Linked DNA regions of Drosophila melanogaster. The protein of the gene in region 1 purifies or fractionates together with the protein of each later gene. This does not show direct contact. Each region holds a gene or a part of one and is shown on either strand. Other genes may lie near its edges.

Region 1 (5,127 bases):
TGTACATACAATTTCAAGATGTAAAACTTTAAATGTTATGTTAAATTTGAAAGACATTCATTTGCTGATCAGGTAGATATATAGTTGATTACCCCTTGGAGGAGTAGCTTCCGGCAATTAACCAAACCATAAGCCATGTATACAAAGTAAAAGGCGTTTAATGCTCTGACCCTCTGCTCTTTTCACGCTTTTCTCTACCCGTTTAAACGAACCAACAACAGGAGGATGCCGAGACCGATATTGGATACGTCCTGGTCACTCTTACGGCTTGGTAGACGGAAGCAGCCGGAATATCCGAATATCTATGAGCAATACCCCACTGTTCAAGTAGAAAATGCCAAAAACAAAAAAACGTTGCATTTCCCCAAAAAAAAGTATAACAAAAGCGAAGAACAAATGGAGTTGGTCTATATACAGTAGTTGTGATGTGTTCTAAAAATCCAATCTACAAAACGCTTAGTATTTTCCCTCTGTGCAATAACGTCTAACGTTCAACGATTATTTAACATTTTTACGTATTTTTATTTTGTATACATGTCTTTTTTTATTGTAAATTATGGCGCATCAAAGTCGTATGCGTAGTTTGTGCTTGTATTAACTAATAAAGTTGGCTTACACTCAACGGCAAAGCTGGGTCACATTCACCATCCACTGATCTCCTTTCCAGGACGACCTCTCCGGAGACTACAGCTACGTCTTGCAGTGCCTGGCCTCCTACTAAGGATTTCCTCGTTGGATCGATTGTTAACCATTCTATTTGTTGTAACTCTTACTTTAAGGCAAGCATCGTTTGCCAACTGTTTTGCGGAAGATTCATAGCCTATGTTCAATTCATAAATGCACTGTAAAATCGCGGTAAATAATTGGAAGATTTTTTCACTTATCTAGGGTAACCGAAACCAAGGGGGAATGGGTATTGGGGAATATTCGTTAAGGGGGAATGCTGTTTGGGTTTTCTACTTGGCAACTCGATCCTGGTAGGCTGCCCACAGGCGGTCGCGGTACGTCTGAGCCGCCTGCTTCGGGCTGCTGGCCTTCAGAATGCCCCTGCCCACCACTCCGATGTCGGCACCCCGCTCCTTGACCACATGCTCCGGACTCTGGTACTGCTGGCCCAATTGGTCCACGCCCTCGTCTATCTTCACACCGGGCGTCAGTTGCAGAAGTCCGGGGAAGGCAAAGGCATCGGAGGATTGGCATACCACACCGGCAACGAAATCTACATCGGCTCCCTCGGTTGCGATCTTGTTGCTGTTCTCCTTGTACTTGGCGTCGATCAGGTTGCCGCTGGCAGACATCTCCGCCAGCAGGAAGACGCCGCGTTCCTTGCCGGCTCCTCCTTCGCCAAGGCCCGCCTTCAGACCCTGCAGAATACTACGTCCAGGTAAGGTGTGGGCCGTGACCAGATCTGCCCAACTGGAAATCTTATAGATGCCCTTGCCGTACTGCAGGGACACCGTGTTGCCGATGTCTGCAAACTTGCGATCCTCCATCAGCAGGAAATTGTGCCGCTGGGCCAGAGCTTGCAGGTCAGCGATGAATTTATCACTGAAATCCTCCACAATGTCTACGTGCGTCTTCAGCAGGCAAATGTACGGACCGCACTTGTCGGCCACGTCCAGGATCTCATCGGCGTGTGTCAGGTCGGCGGCCAAGCAGAGGTTCGTCTGTTTGCTGGCTATCAGGTTGAAGAGGCGCTTGGCCACCGCGCTCTTAGCCAGATTGGCGCGATTCTCGTAGGTCAGTTTAGTGCGCTGCAAGTCGTTGGCTGCGGGGAAAGTGATGGTGATTAGTTAACACTTCAATTTTGAAACGTGCACGTAGACCTATCTTATCGCCTCTTCTTATCGCTATATGGTTGTTTTGTACCTATGCCAATTTTCTTCAATAGCTTCACACTTTGGCGATCCCAAAGTACATAACTCTTTTCAACTGGGAATCAATTTTGGCTATTGTTTATACAGTATCTTAAGAGTATATACAAAAGTTACTCCCCAAAGGCAAAGACGATGATTATGATGAGATTAGAATACTGTGACTTTACAGGTGGAAACAAAAAGCAAACCGGTTCCCATACATCTCATCAAAGCGCCATAAACGAAATGTGATTATTTATAGAAGATGGGCTTGATTGAAGGAGCAGGCTGGCTCTCGAGTGGGCTGATAAGCGTGGTGGCATAATTGAGTGCGGACCGGACACTGCCCTGAATCAGAATCACGTGCCGCATTCCCGGGAATGATCCGGTCCGATAGTGGAATCCAGATCGGCCTACCGCCGTTTATGGCGGTTGTATAACTTTATAGTAGCGCGACTGGAGCGCTCCCTAATTGAATTTGTTCGAGGCCATGTGCTGGCCGAGTGTCATGTACTTATTATCTATCTATGCATCTATCTATCTGGCAGATATCACGGGGATCTGGAGCATACGCACCTCTGACAACGTCGCCCTTATCGCCGCCGACGAAGGTACCATCGCTGTTGATTTGCACGGCGGCGATGTACTTGGCCACCGCCTCCACTGTGGACTTCTCGATGCGCCCGGCCTCGTGAAGTGTGTTCAGCAGAAAGGAGAGCGTGAAGAGCGAGTGCATCCGCACGCCGTGCTTGGCGATGTTGGCCACTCCGCCCTGCTCACGGTCTACGACGACCACGGCGTCGGTGACCACAATGCCCTCGCCTTGCAGATCCCGCACCGTGTCCAGGATGCTGGAGCCGGAGGTGACCACGTCCTCGACAATCAGACAGGTGTCGCCAGCATTGAAGATGCCCTCGACCAGCTTCTTGGTGCCGTACGCCTTGGCCTCCTTGCGCCGCACCAGCATGGGAGTTCCCTGCTGCACGGACACAATGGTGGCCAGCGGGAGCGCCGTGTAGGGAACACCGCACACGTGTTTGGCGCTCAGCTGCTTGTCCTTGATGTGTTCCACCAGCAGGTCGGATACGGTTTGCTGCGGGAAGACCAAGTTAGCTACTGCCATTGACATGGAGCACTAATCCCAAATACTGACCATCACATCCGGATAACTGACGATCACTCGGAGGTCGAAGTAGACCGGCGAATTTATGCCCACTTTCATCTTGAAGTCGCCGAACTTGAAGGCATTGATCTCGAAGAGCTTCAGGGCCAGGGCCCGCATTTTGTCGGAGTTCTGGGCAACCATGCTGGCAATTCTAAATCTCGATCTTAATTCTTCACACACGTGCTAGCTAGGCTCCAATAAGAACCGTCCAATTGGGAGTCTACGCTTTTTAAACATGCTGCCAGTGTGCACGTATCTGCTGTGACATTGGGGCACATTTCGAACACCCTAATTAAGGTACAAGTTCTGGTTGCGCCGCCTGGGTGGTTAACTTCGCTATGCCGCCAAACTTATCGAAGTTCAAATTATTATAAATGTCGTAGATTTTATCAACATTGGCTTCGAATTAATAAACGTTTATTATTAGTTATAGGGTAACAAAGTAGCATAAGTGTTAAGGTTTTGAAATAAACTATTTTGCATGTGAAATATTTCCCAAATTCATAAAATATATAACCTTTAGTTTCTGAGAAGTCTTAAGAAATTTCAAGGAAATGAATGGATGGATTATATACAATATTTTGTCCGCTGCATTGCTGTATTGTTCACTACTTAGCATTTGTAATCTGAAAGCTTTGGCTCCGCCCACAAACCCTTGACTGCAACTTCAAGGGGAGGAGTCTAGTCATTTTGCAACCACCAATGACAGTCCTGTAAGCTCATATTGCAAAATGAAAGCCAAAGCGCCTGCGTAAGTCAACAAAGTTTGCGCCATTCATTGAAACAATTCCAGATCCTTTGGCGCGTGTTTCCAAAATTTAGTTTCTTTTCGCTGGTCTCCAAATAAGTCGCAAATTTGTGCTCCAAAAGCGGCAACTTCTTAGTCGAAAAATCGGTTTTCTCTCAATCCATTTCTCGCCTGCGTTGCGATGGCCAGTTCAAGTGGTGAACCTGCTGATGAAGTGGCTAATAAGCGTCCTCGTCTTGTGGCTAATCCCAAGGCCACCAAAATAGTTGAACCCACACCGGCCAAGGTCACCAATCGGGTGCCCAAGTGCGCCCGCTGCCGGAACCATGGGATCATTTCAGAGCTGCGGGGTCACAAGAAGCTCTGCACCTACAAGAACTGCAAGTGCGCCAAGTGTGTCCTGATCTTTGAGAGGCAGCGGATCATGGCCGCTCAGGTAAGTTAGGATTTATATGCACGATGACAAGCAATCCTTTCTGCTTAATTGGCAATCATTGACATTACTATCCTCATTTTATGATTACTGCCCACTTGCTAACTTTAATGTCATCTATCCTGGATGGTAAAATCGCTATCCCAAAAATAGCTTTTTAAAAATTCGGTGCATTCGAATACAGAAAATTGCCTGGTTAGATCCATCCATAGACATCCAAACCATCCAGACCAGATATATTGCTCTAACATTCGGAGACTTTATTCCCAGTCCTTTAGAAAATTTCTTCTTGTAAAAACATATTCCCTTTATTAGCATTTACTTAAAATGACATATCAAATATTCTCAAAAGCCAAAAGTTTTCTAAAATAACTTCAGGATATTAATGTATAAATGTATAAGCATAAACGTAATTGTGTTTCATGTTGTATTGTTCGCAATGGATTCCGTGATCGATTTTTACTAGGTATAACTTTGAAACCCAATTTAAGCCTTTCGATTATAATTTAACTTGATTAATGTCACTGTTATATTTATAATTTACTAACCTGGGACGACAAACAAAAACACCTATTAGCAAGGGGAGCTTAAATTAACAATAGCACCGAAAACTCCGACATTTTCTTATATCGTGTTTTGTGACTTTGAATAACATTTTGGAAACATTAATTATTTTGGATTTCTGCGAAAATTGTTTTTTACAAATGATGTAAAAGAACTGTTAATAGGAAATACCTTTCCAACATATAGCACGTTTAACTTAAGTCGTTCAAAAATGGTGTGCGCGGAATATATAGCTGATCCAAACATCTTAGGAGACTTTCAATAACACGGTTTATTATAGTAGCAAATGCAATAGAATATAGATTATTATGTCCATATATTATATTGGAATGCAGATTATATTCCAGCCTGCCGTCGCTGT
Region 2 (4,461 bases), on another chromosome or scaffold:
AAGCATGCATATGCCACAGCTGATTGGTGAGTCGTGTGTCTGCCCATGACCCCCACTATATCAGTTTGCCCCAAGCCCATATTCCTCATATAACTAGCCACTCGCATCGCATTCATATGAAGATCTTCGCGGGTGAGTACGATGTCCTCCGTGATCGAGATCTGGTGGTTCAATGCAAATCTATACATTTCTCTGATTTCGAGAGAAAAGAAACTCACCTGGGCAATGAGTTTCGGATTGTTTACCATATCCCCAAAGATTATCTCTCCGATTGATAAGTTTGGCGAAAATAAACTTGGTGCTTCACGACCACTCCAGATCTTGAGTTTATCATCATAAGTGCACATCGCGTTCAATAGTTTTTGTTTTACTTCCATTTCAGCCATTATAAGAAAATGCTGAGTCGATTATTAGTTTTTAAGTAAATTATGCTATTATAACCCCTCGTATCAGCAATGCTATTTCACAGCAATAATGTACATAATTACGAAAGATCAGCTGTATTAACGATTTTGTAATCGATATGTGTTTCGGTATTATTTTACTCGGCGAATATGAAAAAATGCCTAAGATGGCGAACCTCTTAAAAAGCTTACGATAAATACAACAAATACAAATACAAATACAATAAAAATACAAATACAACATAAACATTACAATAATTAAATATGCAAAACTAATTCTTCTCCATAATTCGTAAAAACTCAGCTTTTGTGGCCGCTCTGTTTGCTTTTCTATTGCCACTCTGAATAATGTGATCCACAATCAAAGCTCCTCCATTCAACTGCTTAAATTTGGCAGGTATACGTTTCCTCACATACTCCACAACATCCTGGGCCTCTAGTTGGGTTCCTTGTTTCTTGACCACTGAAGCGGCTGCCTTATCTCCATAAACGGGATCCCAAATGCCAAAGACACAAGCTTCCACAACATTTGGCATTTCAGCGATGACACTTTCAATCTCGCTGGGGTAATACATGATGGTCTGATACTTGAGCATATCCTTCAAGCGATCGATAATGAACAAATATCCATCCTCGTCCATGTAGCCCAGGTCCCCGGTGTGAAACCAGTTCTCCGAGTCCTGCATCTTCTTCGTTTCTTCCGGATTCTTGTAGTAACCAGGCCATTTCTGACCATTATTGAAGCATATCTCGCCCACGACATTGGGTCCTTGTGCTTCACCCAGCTCGTTGACTATTTTGATTTGAATGCCTCTAACCGGACGACCCACTGAATTGGGTTTCTCATCGAAGTTGAAGTTTAGGCATCCGGGGCTGTTCAACTCGGTTAGTGTATAACTGAAATTTACACATTCGTTGCTTAGACGGCTGCGAATTTTGTTCTGGACTTCCAGTGAGCAGTTTGATCCGCCGTAAAAGAAATACTTCACGGATGATAGGTCCGCCGCATAGAATTCCGGGCAATTGGACAGCATCGCCAATTGCGAGGAACTTACGAACACCATCGATATTCGATACTTCTCAATTAGGCCACACAAATTGGCAGGATCAAAGTCACAATCTTCAATTATACTAGTCAAGCTAAACACGGCTGCATTGATGGTCATCGTGATGCCTGATGCCCAATCCAAAGTGTTTGGGTTATACTGAATAATCGAGCTATCCACGGGTCTGAAAATAATAAATTAGATGGGTGTATAAAATTAAGGTGGTAATATTTACAGAAAACTCCCAATAATCTGGTGACTATTGCTAATGGTGACTGCCTTTGGAAGGCCGGATGTTCCCGAAGAGCTAAGAATGGCCAGTAGTTGATCAGTACCGTCTTTCAGTCGCACTGGTCGAAAGTTCATCTCCACGGGAGTGGTTAAAATATCCTGAATTCTCAATATTCCTGCCGGGTGATTACGCATGGTTACTATTTGTACCTGAAGGCCTTTGGTGGCTGCTTGAACTTTCTCAAACTCATCTCCATCACAGAAGATTAAGCGTGGCTTGGTTATTCCGAACAGTCTCTCGATGGCAGATTGTTCGTATTCGGTGTGTAGGGCATGATAAGGAGTTCCATTAAAGAAACAGGCATAGGCCAGAGCAGTCAAGTGAGTGGTCAACCTGCCAATGACTCCCACAAAGTCACCTTGCTCCAGACCCAGTTTACGCATATAACTTGCCACCTTCATCGCGTTTGTCTGGATGTCTTTCCAGGTCAGCTCAGTGTTTTCTGTAACTGAAATCTAAAGGTTTTGTTTCGATGAATATAAATATTGTTTCTTGTAAATTTATTAAGTACCTGGGCAGTGAGCATAGCATTGCGCTCCATTTGTTGAAAGATAATTTCTCCAATGGACAAATCTGGTGAGAATAAACTGCGTTTTTCGCCACCACTCCAGATCTTTAAGTTTTCATCAAAGGTGTTTCTTGTCTTAAAGGGCGATTTTCCCGCTTGCAATTCACCCATTTTGTATAATACGTTAAGAATTAAAATGAAGGCTTATAATTTATATATCTCTCTAACTTCTGTGATAGTAATACCATAAAAACGAAAGTGATAGACGCAAGAACTCGAATTTAAAGCTTCAAGTTAGGTCTCACCATTATCAACTGACTTATTATATCGATATTTCTTTGAGCTAAGAAAGAGATACTAAAAGTTTTGTTCATAAGTGAATTTATTTCATCTACCAATCAATTATTCCGTCACTGTTGCCATACTAATCATATTTACTATTTATGTTTACTTAAGCAATGATTAATTGCCAAGACTGTTTTCATGACCGCTGATAATCCGATTTTGAGATTGCATCCCATAGTAAAATACTCAAAAAGATGTCGAAAAGTGTTTCAGCAAATGGTCAGCTGGGCTGGACTGGAATCTCCACCACCACCAACAATAAGATTATGATAATGGGCAGCCGTCAAAGAGAGGATTATGGGTTTTGGAAAACAAGTGGATTAAGGGGTTGACAATTGGGGGAATGTGCTGTCAGGAATTTGGCTTTTGCGTTTTGCATTTGTTTTTACGATTATGACCGACATGGATGGATCGGAATCGAAATCGTTCAGTTCTGCTCTGTCCCATTATGATGCGCTATTTTGAGTGACCCTGTCCTCCGCAAACATAGCGAAACTAATAAGTAAAATGTGTTTTTCAAACATTGATTTCGGCCAGTGCGTGGTGGGTGGTGTTTTAGGAAACACACACACACACACCCCCTTTTCGAGACGACAACATTTGTCATAAGGCCAAGACAGCCTCAACAGTTGTTGGCGATTATCATTTTGACAGTTGCTTCTCGCTTCGCTTTTGTTTCAGTTCCCTTGGCTGCGTTTTGGGCCTTGATTTATGCATTTTTAAGCGGTTCACTTATTGTTTCTGCGCACAAATATGGCCAAGTATCTCGGTATCTGCGAGATACAATCCCCTAGTCAGCCCTTGCCGCGTAATTTGTTGATTTATTGCAAGGCTGCCACTGCAGGCATCTTCATTAAGCAGCACTAGCTTCCGTTTTTTATCCGGCCACGCCCGTCGTCTTGCAGCGCCCACGATTCGCTTTCATTATCATTATCCTGCCGGCATTGTCCTTAGCCTCGTTTGTCATGCTCGGTGCGTCTGCTTAAGTTTTCGCACGCTCCAACGCCTCGGCTTCCTTGGCGCAGCCTTCAAGATGTGGAAATTGAATTGAAAACGTGCTGAAGCGTTAAATGCTCTTGTGTCAACTGCTTCCAATCCACCCAAACCTCCTCGCCCCCAAATGTCCTTCTGTCCATCACATTTCGTCCTGTGTGTGTGGCGACATATGAGAATTTGTAACCTCAGCACAAGCTGGTCCGAAGTTGCGGCTGCGTCGGCCGTTCTCCGCTCGCCCCCCAAAAAGTTCCCGGCCAAGTGGCAAGTGGCAAGCAAGCGGGCCATAATTAATTCCAAATTGCATCCGCAAAGGATTGCCAAGTTTCGCTGGCCAAAACTTATCGAAGGTACGATGCAGAGTGTGTTGCTTAAGGGATTACCGAAAATCTGCTTTTCAATATTGCTCATCTCTTTAAGAGCTAAGTAACTGTTCAGGAGCAAGAAAATTCTTACCCAATGTAATTTATTTGTAATTTTTTTTATATTTATAGCCTAAAAGTATGCTATTGCGTTTTATAAAGTTCCATATTTGGCCGGTAATGATGATGGCGCTATTCTACTTTGTACTAAAATTATATCGGCGACATCTAGCGAACATTGTGTGAAGTCGCAGCAGCTACGAAACGCCATCTGCTGGTCGAGCTGAGTTTCATAGCTATTAAACTATGTCAGTCAGAAACGTGTACAACAAATATATGCAAGGAAGTCTGTAGTCAAGCTGTCTAAAGTGTCTGTCTAGACAGCTGGTGGTTGCGGTTCAATCCCAACTTTGGTCAGCACATTTAGTTTGTTTTTGTTTTAAATTAAAATATTGTTTTTTTTATATACTTCATTCATATAAATTCATATATGGACATATGTACTCTGAAA
Region 3 (8,022 bases), 240 kb from region 1:
GGCTTCCGATGTGGTGACTGAGGATTGCGTGGTCGCTATTTCGCTCTTCACACTCGCTCTGCTGCTGACACTGCTCAAGGTGCTGGTGTTCTTCTTCAGGCTGTTTGTCTGGGGGTATTCCTGCTAAAGAGCTGGCTTAGTCTGATATTAACTACTGGGTAGTCAACTGGCTTACGTGCACATCCTCGGCCACAGGTCGCTGGTTGATGAGCGTGATGGGTGCTGCCGGCAGTGCCTCTTTTGATTTGTTGCCCTTGGCAATGTCACGGAACTCCTCCGTATATTCCTGTCAACAAATAGGAAGTTCTTCCATTAGCGGCCACACTGGGCTTCAGTAAAAACAGAAAACTCACCACAAATGATGGCCAATTCATGGCCATGTTAATGCCATGATTGTTCGACCACCATTTTAGGTCTTTCTGCTGGTCTGCATTGTTGATCGTGTGGGAGAACTCCTCGTAGATTTGGGGCAGGCTGTAAGTCATGTAAAAGTTATTTAAATGGATCAGTTAAACTCAAATCAAATTCAATTCGCACCTTTGCACTTTTGTGAGGTCCAGGCACGAGTGCACGTTGAACAGGATTTCTTTGAAGAACTGCAAACGCGTCTTCTCAAAGGTTTGGCACTTTTCAAACACGGATGTCATGTCCTCGATGTACACCGAATTGTATTTGGTGATTTCGGCAATCGCCTGCTCGTACTTTTCCCGGCACTTTTGCACTTGATCTTTGGTCTTTTGCACTCGATCGTGCATTTTCTTCACCTAATTAGGAAATGAGAAGTGGTGTGAGCATAAAATTAATAAATAAATTAAATTAATAGTTATACATACATATGTATAACTAAACTATTGCTTTTACAAAAAAGATCCTTACCTGATCCGGCGACAACGAGCTATCGGCATTGGCATTGCGTTCCTGATTGGTAGCACTGCGCTCCGTCTTGCAGGCCGAATGGTAGTCCGCTTTGGCCTTCTCGACCTTTGCCAGCAGCTTGGCCCAGGGTTTCTGGGCCTTCTTGAACAGATCCTCCAGGTCCTTGCGCTCCTTGATCTGCATAAGCGTGTGGTGGTAGTTCTCCTTCTGCCACGTCTTTATCTGGCTGTTCACATCGTTGCAGAGATTGTCCTTGATCTTCATGTGAACGTCGGAGATGCGTTCCGATTCCGTCAGAACGCCCTTCCAGGCTGCCTCCGTGGTTCCGTATTCCGGGCCTGAAACAAATCAGACATTCGTTATATATCTCTTTTAGCGTTTCTCAATTAACAACAGATTACAAGCGTGTCACCCTGTCGAGCTGTTTGCGGCTGACGTCATCGTGAGCCCCGCGGGTACTTGGTTTATCTAATCAGCCGCAGCCGCAAGATATATACAAACATACATATGTAGCCATATCTATAGGTATAGCAAATATAAAATGCCCGAAGAATAAGCGCTTGTATGGGTGCTGCGATGGAGGAACATCGTACATTTTTGGCATTTTTTATTGGGACCCCAAACACACGGCAATCAAGTTGATATGATGCTCGTCTTATAATTGGCAGTGCACGGAACTCGTTTGCCTAACGACTCACTATTCCCAATTCCCCCTGTGAAAAGGCACACAAACAGATATATAGAAATTGAGACGCTTAGCACACAAATAACTCGTTCTATTTTCTCGTCGCATTGATTTTTGAAACCATTTCAAGCGACGCTCTGGTGCCGGTTTGCTTTGGTGCCGAGTTATGGGCCACTGTCCAGCGCTTCTGCCTCCCAGTCTCCGTATCTGTAACTGTGAACGTATCTGTATCTGTATTTGTATCTGCACACGTATTCGTATCTGTATCTTTGGCTAGACGCGGCTAGGCAAATTCCTCGCAAATAAGAAAACTCGAAGAGCACTCGGAGGCGGAGGAAGTGATGGTAGTCGCTTTTGCAATTGCCCATCGCTGGTTACTGTGAAAGTGGACACTGAGAATTCCGTGCAGAGGCGGTCACAGAAAATAGCAGCAATAGAAGCAAACAGTACCAATGGGGCAAAGCGGTTTCCAACTTCGCAAGCGCTGTACTCGATTTCATTTTACGAAGAAGCGCGCACACTGTGCCGGACATCCGCTAAAAATGGTCAAAGACCCAATTCCGAAAACAATGAGTGAGTCGATGATTACCGCCGTTTTCGAAAATAGTATTTGGTAGTGTGTACTTATAGAAGTACATATATGAGGCAATAGCAAGGTAATAAAACCTTAAGAACCCATATAACTTATATATCAAAAAATAAAAATTGTATATTACTATAAAGCAGAAACCCACAGATATTTGATTCTTTATTTATTTATTATTTTCTCTTGTACAAACTTAAGATTTCCGCTGCCGAATTTTAATTGTTTAGAATGAAGAGTGTGAAGAGTGTATGCATATGTTTATGTTAGTTAATCCAAACACTTTGCCAGCCCCGCTCATTAACATACTTAAATAAATTGGTGTGGCGATTTTGAACCACAGTGCGCAGCTTTTGCAGAATACAACCGACAAAAACGAGGTAACGAAAAACGTAAAAAAAACCATTAATAGCTTAAGCCACTTATCGCACAACGGCAACAACAATGCTCAGAATGATGTACAGAATGTAGAAAATAAGAACAGCCAGTGGGCCAAATAAGTGGTGGGAATTCAACGTGAGCGGGTCACTTGATGCTCCACTGGGCTTTTAGCTCGTGAATGAATGTGTTGGCCAACAGAAGGCTTCCACGACTGATGATGTCTCATCCCACAGGCCACAGCCACCCACATCCCCATATCTCACCAGATCCCCACCTGCCGCTCACTTACCTTTCTCAATGAGTTCACCCCATTTCTTTGACCAGGTGCGCAGGCTTTTCGCATATCCCTTCTCGATGTCGGCACGCTCCTGAATCAGTTGCTGTAGGTCATTGCAGAGTCTGCGGGCGAAATGAGACAAGAATCATAATAATGCAAACCGGTTTGAATTTTTGTCTTGGGTTTGGGCTTCGGGTGTCGATATATTCGGCTGGCAATGACCCAGCGTCGCCCAGTGCAAATACACAGAGAGAACCCATTACCTATTTGCTTAAAAAGATTGATTGTATCACTAGAAATCAAAGCTCATTAAAAAAGTTTATGAAATGTCCACATAAGTAGAACAAATTGAGTTAATACTAAGACCAATGCTTATACCAAGGTCTTTATATTTTCTTATTTTTTTCCCTTAAATAAATACGAATTGCTGTAAGTTTGCATTCAAAACAATGTGATGACACTGCATGACCTACTAAACACACAGAAAAGATACAGTTACCAATACCAATTGGTATGACAGAAACGTTGAAAAACGATTGGGTTGCAGCTACGAATATGTTTTTGAATATTAAGCCAATTGTATTATGTCGAGGAATTCGACTGACATAATGGCAAAATAAAGTATCTCTCTGTGCACCAAGACTCCCTGGGGATTATCCACTCACTTGTAACCATCCTCGATCCGCTTGGTGGTGCGTTTGTAGTTGCCGGGCTCCCAGAAGGAATCGCTTCCAGCCTGGAGGAGCTGATCATCGCTGTGGTGGGACATTTCCTGTGGATTCCAATCAATATTAATCAATCACATACGACGGGCTTAAGCGCAATAATCGTAAAATATGAGTTTTGTTACGTAAATAGACACTGCAGACATAAACAACTTCCACACAGCAGCAACAACAAAAAGCTCTTTGTTTATACGCAAACTTGTATTTTTGTAGTGTTTGGCTAAGACCAACAAATCGTTTGTTAAACGACATACTATAGTAAACCCAAACGAGACGGGCTCTGAGTAAATTTATTGTTTGCCTAATTTGTTCAATTAAGAAATTCCTTCACATTGATGCAACAGGCAGAACTTTAATTACTGGAGCCTTATCAACGACCATATTTCTTGACGGTTTCGCCGAGTGTCCCCATTGATAAAGACTGGACTTATCACCCCTGACTCATTGTGCAACTTTGCATGGTGTTCTGCCAATGGGTTTACTATTTTCAAATTGGAATATTAAGGTAATGTCTTATTTTAATTGAAAAAATTTTCTTCGAAACTAAAAAATAAACATATTTTTAACCATATTAAGATAAATAAATATTTGTAATTTATTTTGAATTCGATTATTTTTAGTATCGCTTTCAAATATTATTTCTGTTTTTTGAGATAAATAGATAATGTTGACAGATTTTCTTTCTGTGTAGCATACATTTTCCACCGTAATAGTTTCATCTTATCAAGGGAATTCTCATGCACCCATATTTTGTAACCCAGATAAATGAGATCCCAAAAATTGAATTTGAAATTTAATATACATACACGCTTCAGGTGTTCTGCATTTCTGATTGTACGCTGAACAGTTGATACGCTTGTTTTTACTCCGGACAAATTCGAAAATTAGAATTCGAAGCAATTCTAACAATTTGGCGTTCTGCTTGCTTTGATAGTGCTTTTTTCTTTCCTTTGAAGTTATTCCCATATGCCTCTGGAACCTTCAAATATCTATCAACAGTTCTGCAGCTGCGATTTATCTGTTTGGCAATGTTCCGATTAGGCAATCCTTGCGAGTGTAGGAAGTCTACTTTTTGACGTTCCAATAAGCAGCAGCTTTACCCATTTTTTCTTCAAATGTAGCTCGAAAACACTTTATTCGTTTATTTGTTATATTTTTTCAATACAACAGTTTATACTTGTCCACGCAATACGAAGAAATTTAAGCTGCATCTAATTCAATGACCAACAGAAAACTTTGATAAGAAAAGCATTTTGGACAATTAAAAAAAGCATGCAAATAAATGATCGATTTTGTTAAAAAAAAAACGATTGTGCGTCTAACCTAAGAGCAGCAGTGTACATCGTATTGGAGACCCTTACGTGTGACAACATTTAACATTTCAATTCTCTCTGTGTAGCGAGCTAAATTTTTTCATACTCGGCGATGGGAAATCTTGGTATCTTATCAGTGGAGTGGAGTTTCCCTGCATCAGCTGTTTGTAAACAATGCAGTCAGTTTGAGTTCCACTCGCACACACCCGTATGGTGAATAACGGTTATGTTATCAGCAGCATTGACCGGTTATATACATGCTTTCTTATTTATATATGTATAATAACCTCTGCTGAAGTTTAATCACCTACACACATGTGTAGATTGGTGATGTTGGGTCTGCTGAATGTGGAATCTTGTATCTTGGGTTGACTTGATTTGGGCGTCATCGACTCACGATGCGCTTACGGATTTTCCCCATCATCGGCTATAAATATAAATATAGGATCGCGGCTCAGTGCGATTTTCGTGTTTTGCGTGTGGAAATGGCCAGCAGAAAGTTTACAAACAGGTTGACGCATACTTCGCATATTTGTGGAGATAGATAAGCACCTTTACGGCGCTCTCACAAGCACTCGCGCCACACACACACACACACATACGTATATGCACATCTAAACCAACACGTCGCACACTTAGGCGATAAGAAATCCCCCTCCGCCAAACAACCAAGAAACTCGTTTATCTTTGAGATTGAACTTGTCTCGACCGTTTCTACTGTAAATATTTGCATCGTTTTCCAGCACACCTTACATAAGGTTTTCTTGGGGCGCTGCTATTAAAATGCTTTCGCTGTGCACTAATTTTTAGCAGGCGAAGCGTACGAAGAGCACTTGCTGGCCGATTGGATTTTGTTGTTGCCAGACGCACACCGACACGCACACACGCTCGGCTAGGTCACACAAACACACGGGAAGCGAAATTCCGCTACACCCAAACGCGTTTACATGAAATGTTCTGTTCTAAATTGCGATCGCTTTTGTTGTTGCTGCTGCTGCAGCTGCACTGCATTTAAATGGTTGTTAAATAATCCTTGGCTTTGGGTCTCTGGCACTTGTTCATACCGAAGCAGGGCGACAACCTACCAATAACAAAATAGCGTAAAAAAGCACTACAACTCGAGTGTGTGTCTGGAATCGCCAACTAAAAAAACTATGTGAGGTGTGACCGTTTCGCGACCATTCAAATACACCTCGCGGCTAGCTGAAAATACCGCTCCATACGAATACAAAAATACCGAAATGTATTTAGGATATACATTTATTTTTAAGACATCTGTACATATTTTTAAGTACTAGTTACAGTACTAGCACAAAGTCAAGTTTTACTTAAACCAATTTGTTCTTTAAGTCCTTAAAATACTGAAGTTTCCAATCAAAATGTGTACACTAATTATACATAGTTGTATTTAAATTCCAAGTAAAATAAAACAATAAAATAACAATCAATCTATAGTCAATACCGCTCCAAATTTTGTGGACAATATAAAAACAGAATTATTTTGAAATGTTTATTTTAGAGGATTGCTTAAAGGACTTCTTCCCGCGCCACATACGACAGCATAAACTCGATTTTGCGAACCAGTTGCGCCAGTTTGGTGCGATCCAATTGCACACTTCCGCTGGCCAAAGCGAACAGCTTCTGGAACTCGGCTTCCTGGGTATTCTTACGGCGACTGATTGCCTTCGTCTGCTGCAGCAGATAGAGAACATCACTAAGGGCGGCCAACTTGTGCTCCTTCGTAGCCATCAACTGGCGGGCATCCTGCTGCAGCTGCTCCCTGTTGTCGACGAGGAAATTGGCACCTCCTGCAGCACTTCCAACTGCAGCCGCGCCGGCAGGACCATTACCCGTGGTGATGGCTTCCATCTCTACGGAGACAATAGCGTCCTCAGCATCCTCGAAGTTGGTGCCGTACTTTAAGGTGGCGCTGAGATTGACAAGGTGGGCCACTGCCTCGCTGGCATTGGTCCTCTGTTCGCCGCCAAAGAAACGAGCCACACAGGCGTAGGCGCTTAGTATGTTCCACAAATTGTAGTGCAGGCACGGAGACGGAGTTTTCTTGCATATATCGGAGAATTTGGCAATGCTCCCGAAAATTTCGGGAACACGGCTCTCTTTCTTGGCAGCTTCTTCGGGTGTAGGTATAATCACAATCTTAGAGTTCTTCGGCTTGATCCACCAGGGCTTGTAGTCTGGCATAAGCTTCATGATATCTCCATTGGTGATCAATTTCTGGAACTCATCTTGCTCCTCTGTAGTTAACCGGCTCCAAACTTCATCCGCATCGTTGATATCAACGCCTTTCAGTCGAGTTGCAATGTCTTCCTCCAGGTCTTCATCCAGTATGTCCCCCTCGGTGACGTTTTCTTCCGCCTCATCTTCTTCTGACTCTCCTTCCTCGCCTCCATCCGAGTCCAAACTATTTTCCAGGCCATCTGTATCAAATTCCTGGGGATTGAAACCACTGTCCGTTTCTCTCATCCTCTTCAGTATGTCGTATATTTTCCGCATGTCCTCCTGGCTTTCCTGCGTTACCGTGTTTTGGGTCAGCTCGTCCTGAATGCAGGACTTGTAGAAAGCCTCGGAACATTTAAGGTGCTCCTTGGACTTGTAGCATCCCACGCTGCAATACAAAGCATTGCACTTGGGACAGGTGTACTTGAAGGACACCTCGCGACAGCTGCAGGAGATTAATATATATTGAACCGCTATAATTAATATTACTTGTTAACTACTTACAAGTGACACTTTTCATCGGCTTCCGACATGGTCAAACAAAATGGAATAAACAAAATAGTGCGGTCGCCAACAGCTGATCGCTGTAGTGTGACCGTAACCACGATTCGTTAAGTAACGGCTTTTCAAATGGATAAGTTTTTATTTTGTTGTAAACAAAATAAAGTTGTTTGTAAACAAATTATACGACTTAGATATTATAAGAGTTGGATTTAATTTGAATTACGCAATTTCTCTTGTTTTTTACATAGGAATTTATTAGCAAATAACTATGTATATCAAATATGAACCTTAAAGATAAAATATATTTAAATATTAACTAGTTAGTCTTTTTACAAAAATTCGTTGTAACTAAACAATACACCTATCAACTACGAACATCAATGAAAAGAGAATAATAATATATTATTTAAGTACTTTAAATGTAAAAAGACTTATGAGAG

The links.
Region 2: the proteins of r-l (region 1) and CG5568 purify together in Drosophila melanogaster (affinity purification with mass spectrometry, with the first as the bait; one large-scale study listed by BioGRID). This does not show direct contact.
Region 3: the proteins of r-l (region 1) and Synd purify together in Drosophila melanogaster (affinity purification with mass spectrometry, with the first as the bait; one large-scale study listed by BioGRID). This does not show direct contact.

Annotation. Positions count from the first base shown.
Region 1 is NT_033777.3:21,070,057-21,075,183, forward strand, and holds r-l (rudimentary-like), read right to left. Parts: upstream 3,264-5,127; 5' UTR 3,163-3,263; coding exon 3,010-3,162; intron 2,950-3,009; coding exon 2,433-2,949; intron 1,769-2,432; coding exon 957-1,768; 3' UTR 722-956; coding exon of another isoform or gene 668-721; 3' UTR 501-667; downstream 1-500. Other genes in the region: dmrt93B (doublesex-Mab related 93B), read left to right, coding at 3,951-4,205.
Region 2 is NT_037436.4:5,869,558-5,874,018, reverse strand, and holds CG5568 (uncharacterized protein), read right to left. Parts: upstream 2,519-4,461; 5' UTR 2,422-2,518; coding exon 2,254-2,421; intron 2,198-2,253; coding exon 1,686-2,197; intron 1,635-1,685; coding exon 677-1,634; 3' UTR 501-676; downstream 1-500. Other genes in the region: CG18586 (uncharacterized protein), read right to left, coding at 1-161, 219-386.
Region 3 is NT_033777.3:20,830,777-20,838,798, reverse strand, and holds the start of Synd (syndapin), read right to left. Parts: upstream 6,001-8,022; 5' UTR 5,926-6,000; intron 4,403-5,925; exon of another isoform or gene 4,334-4,402; intron 3,575-4,333; 5' UTR 3,572-3,574; coding exon 3,468-3,571; intron 2,925-3,467; coding exon 2,815-2,924; intron 1,215-2,814; coding exon 877-1,214; intron 765-876; coding exon 538-764; intron 475-537; coding exon 354-474; intron 287-353; coding exon 176-286; intron 124-175; coding exon 1-123. Other genes in the region: CG31223 (uncharacterized protein), read right to left, coding at 6,368-7,523, 7,583-7,611.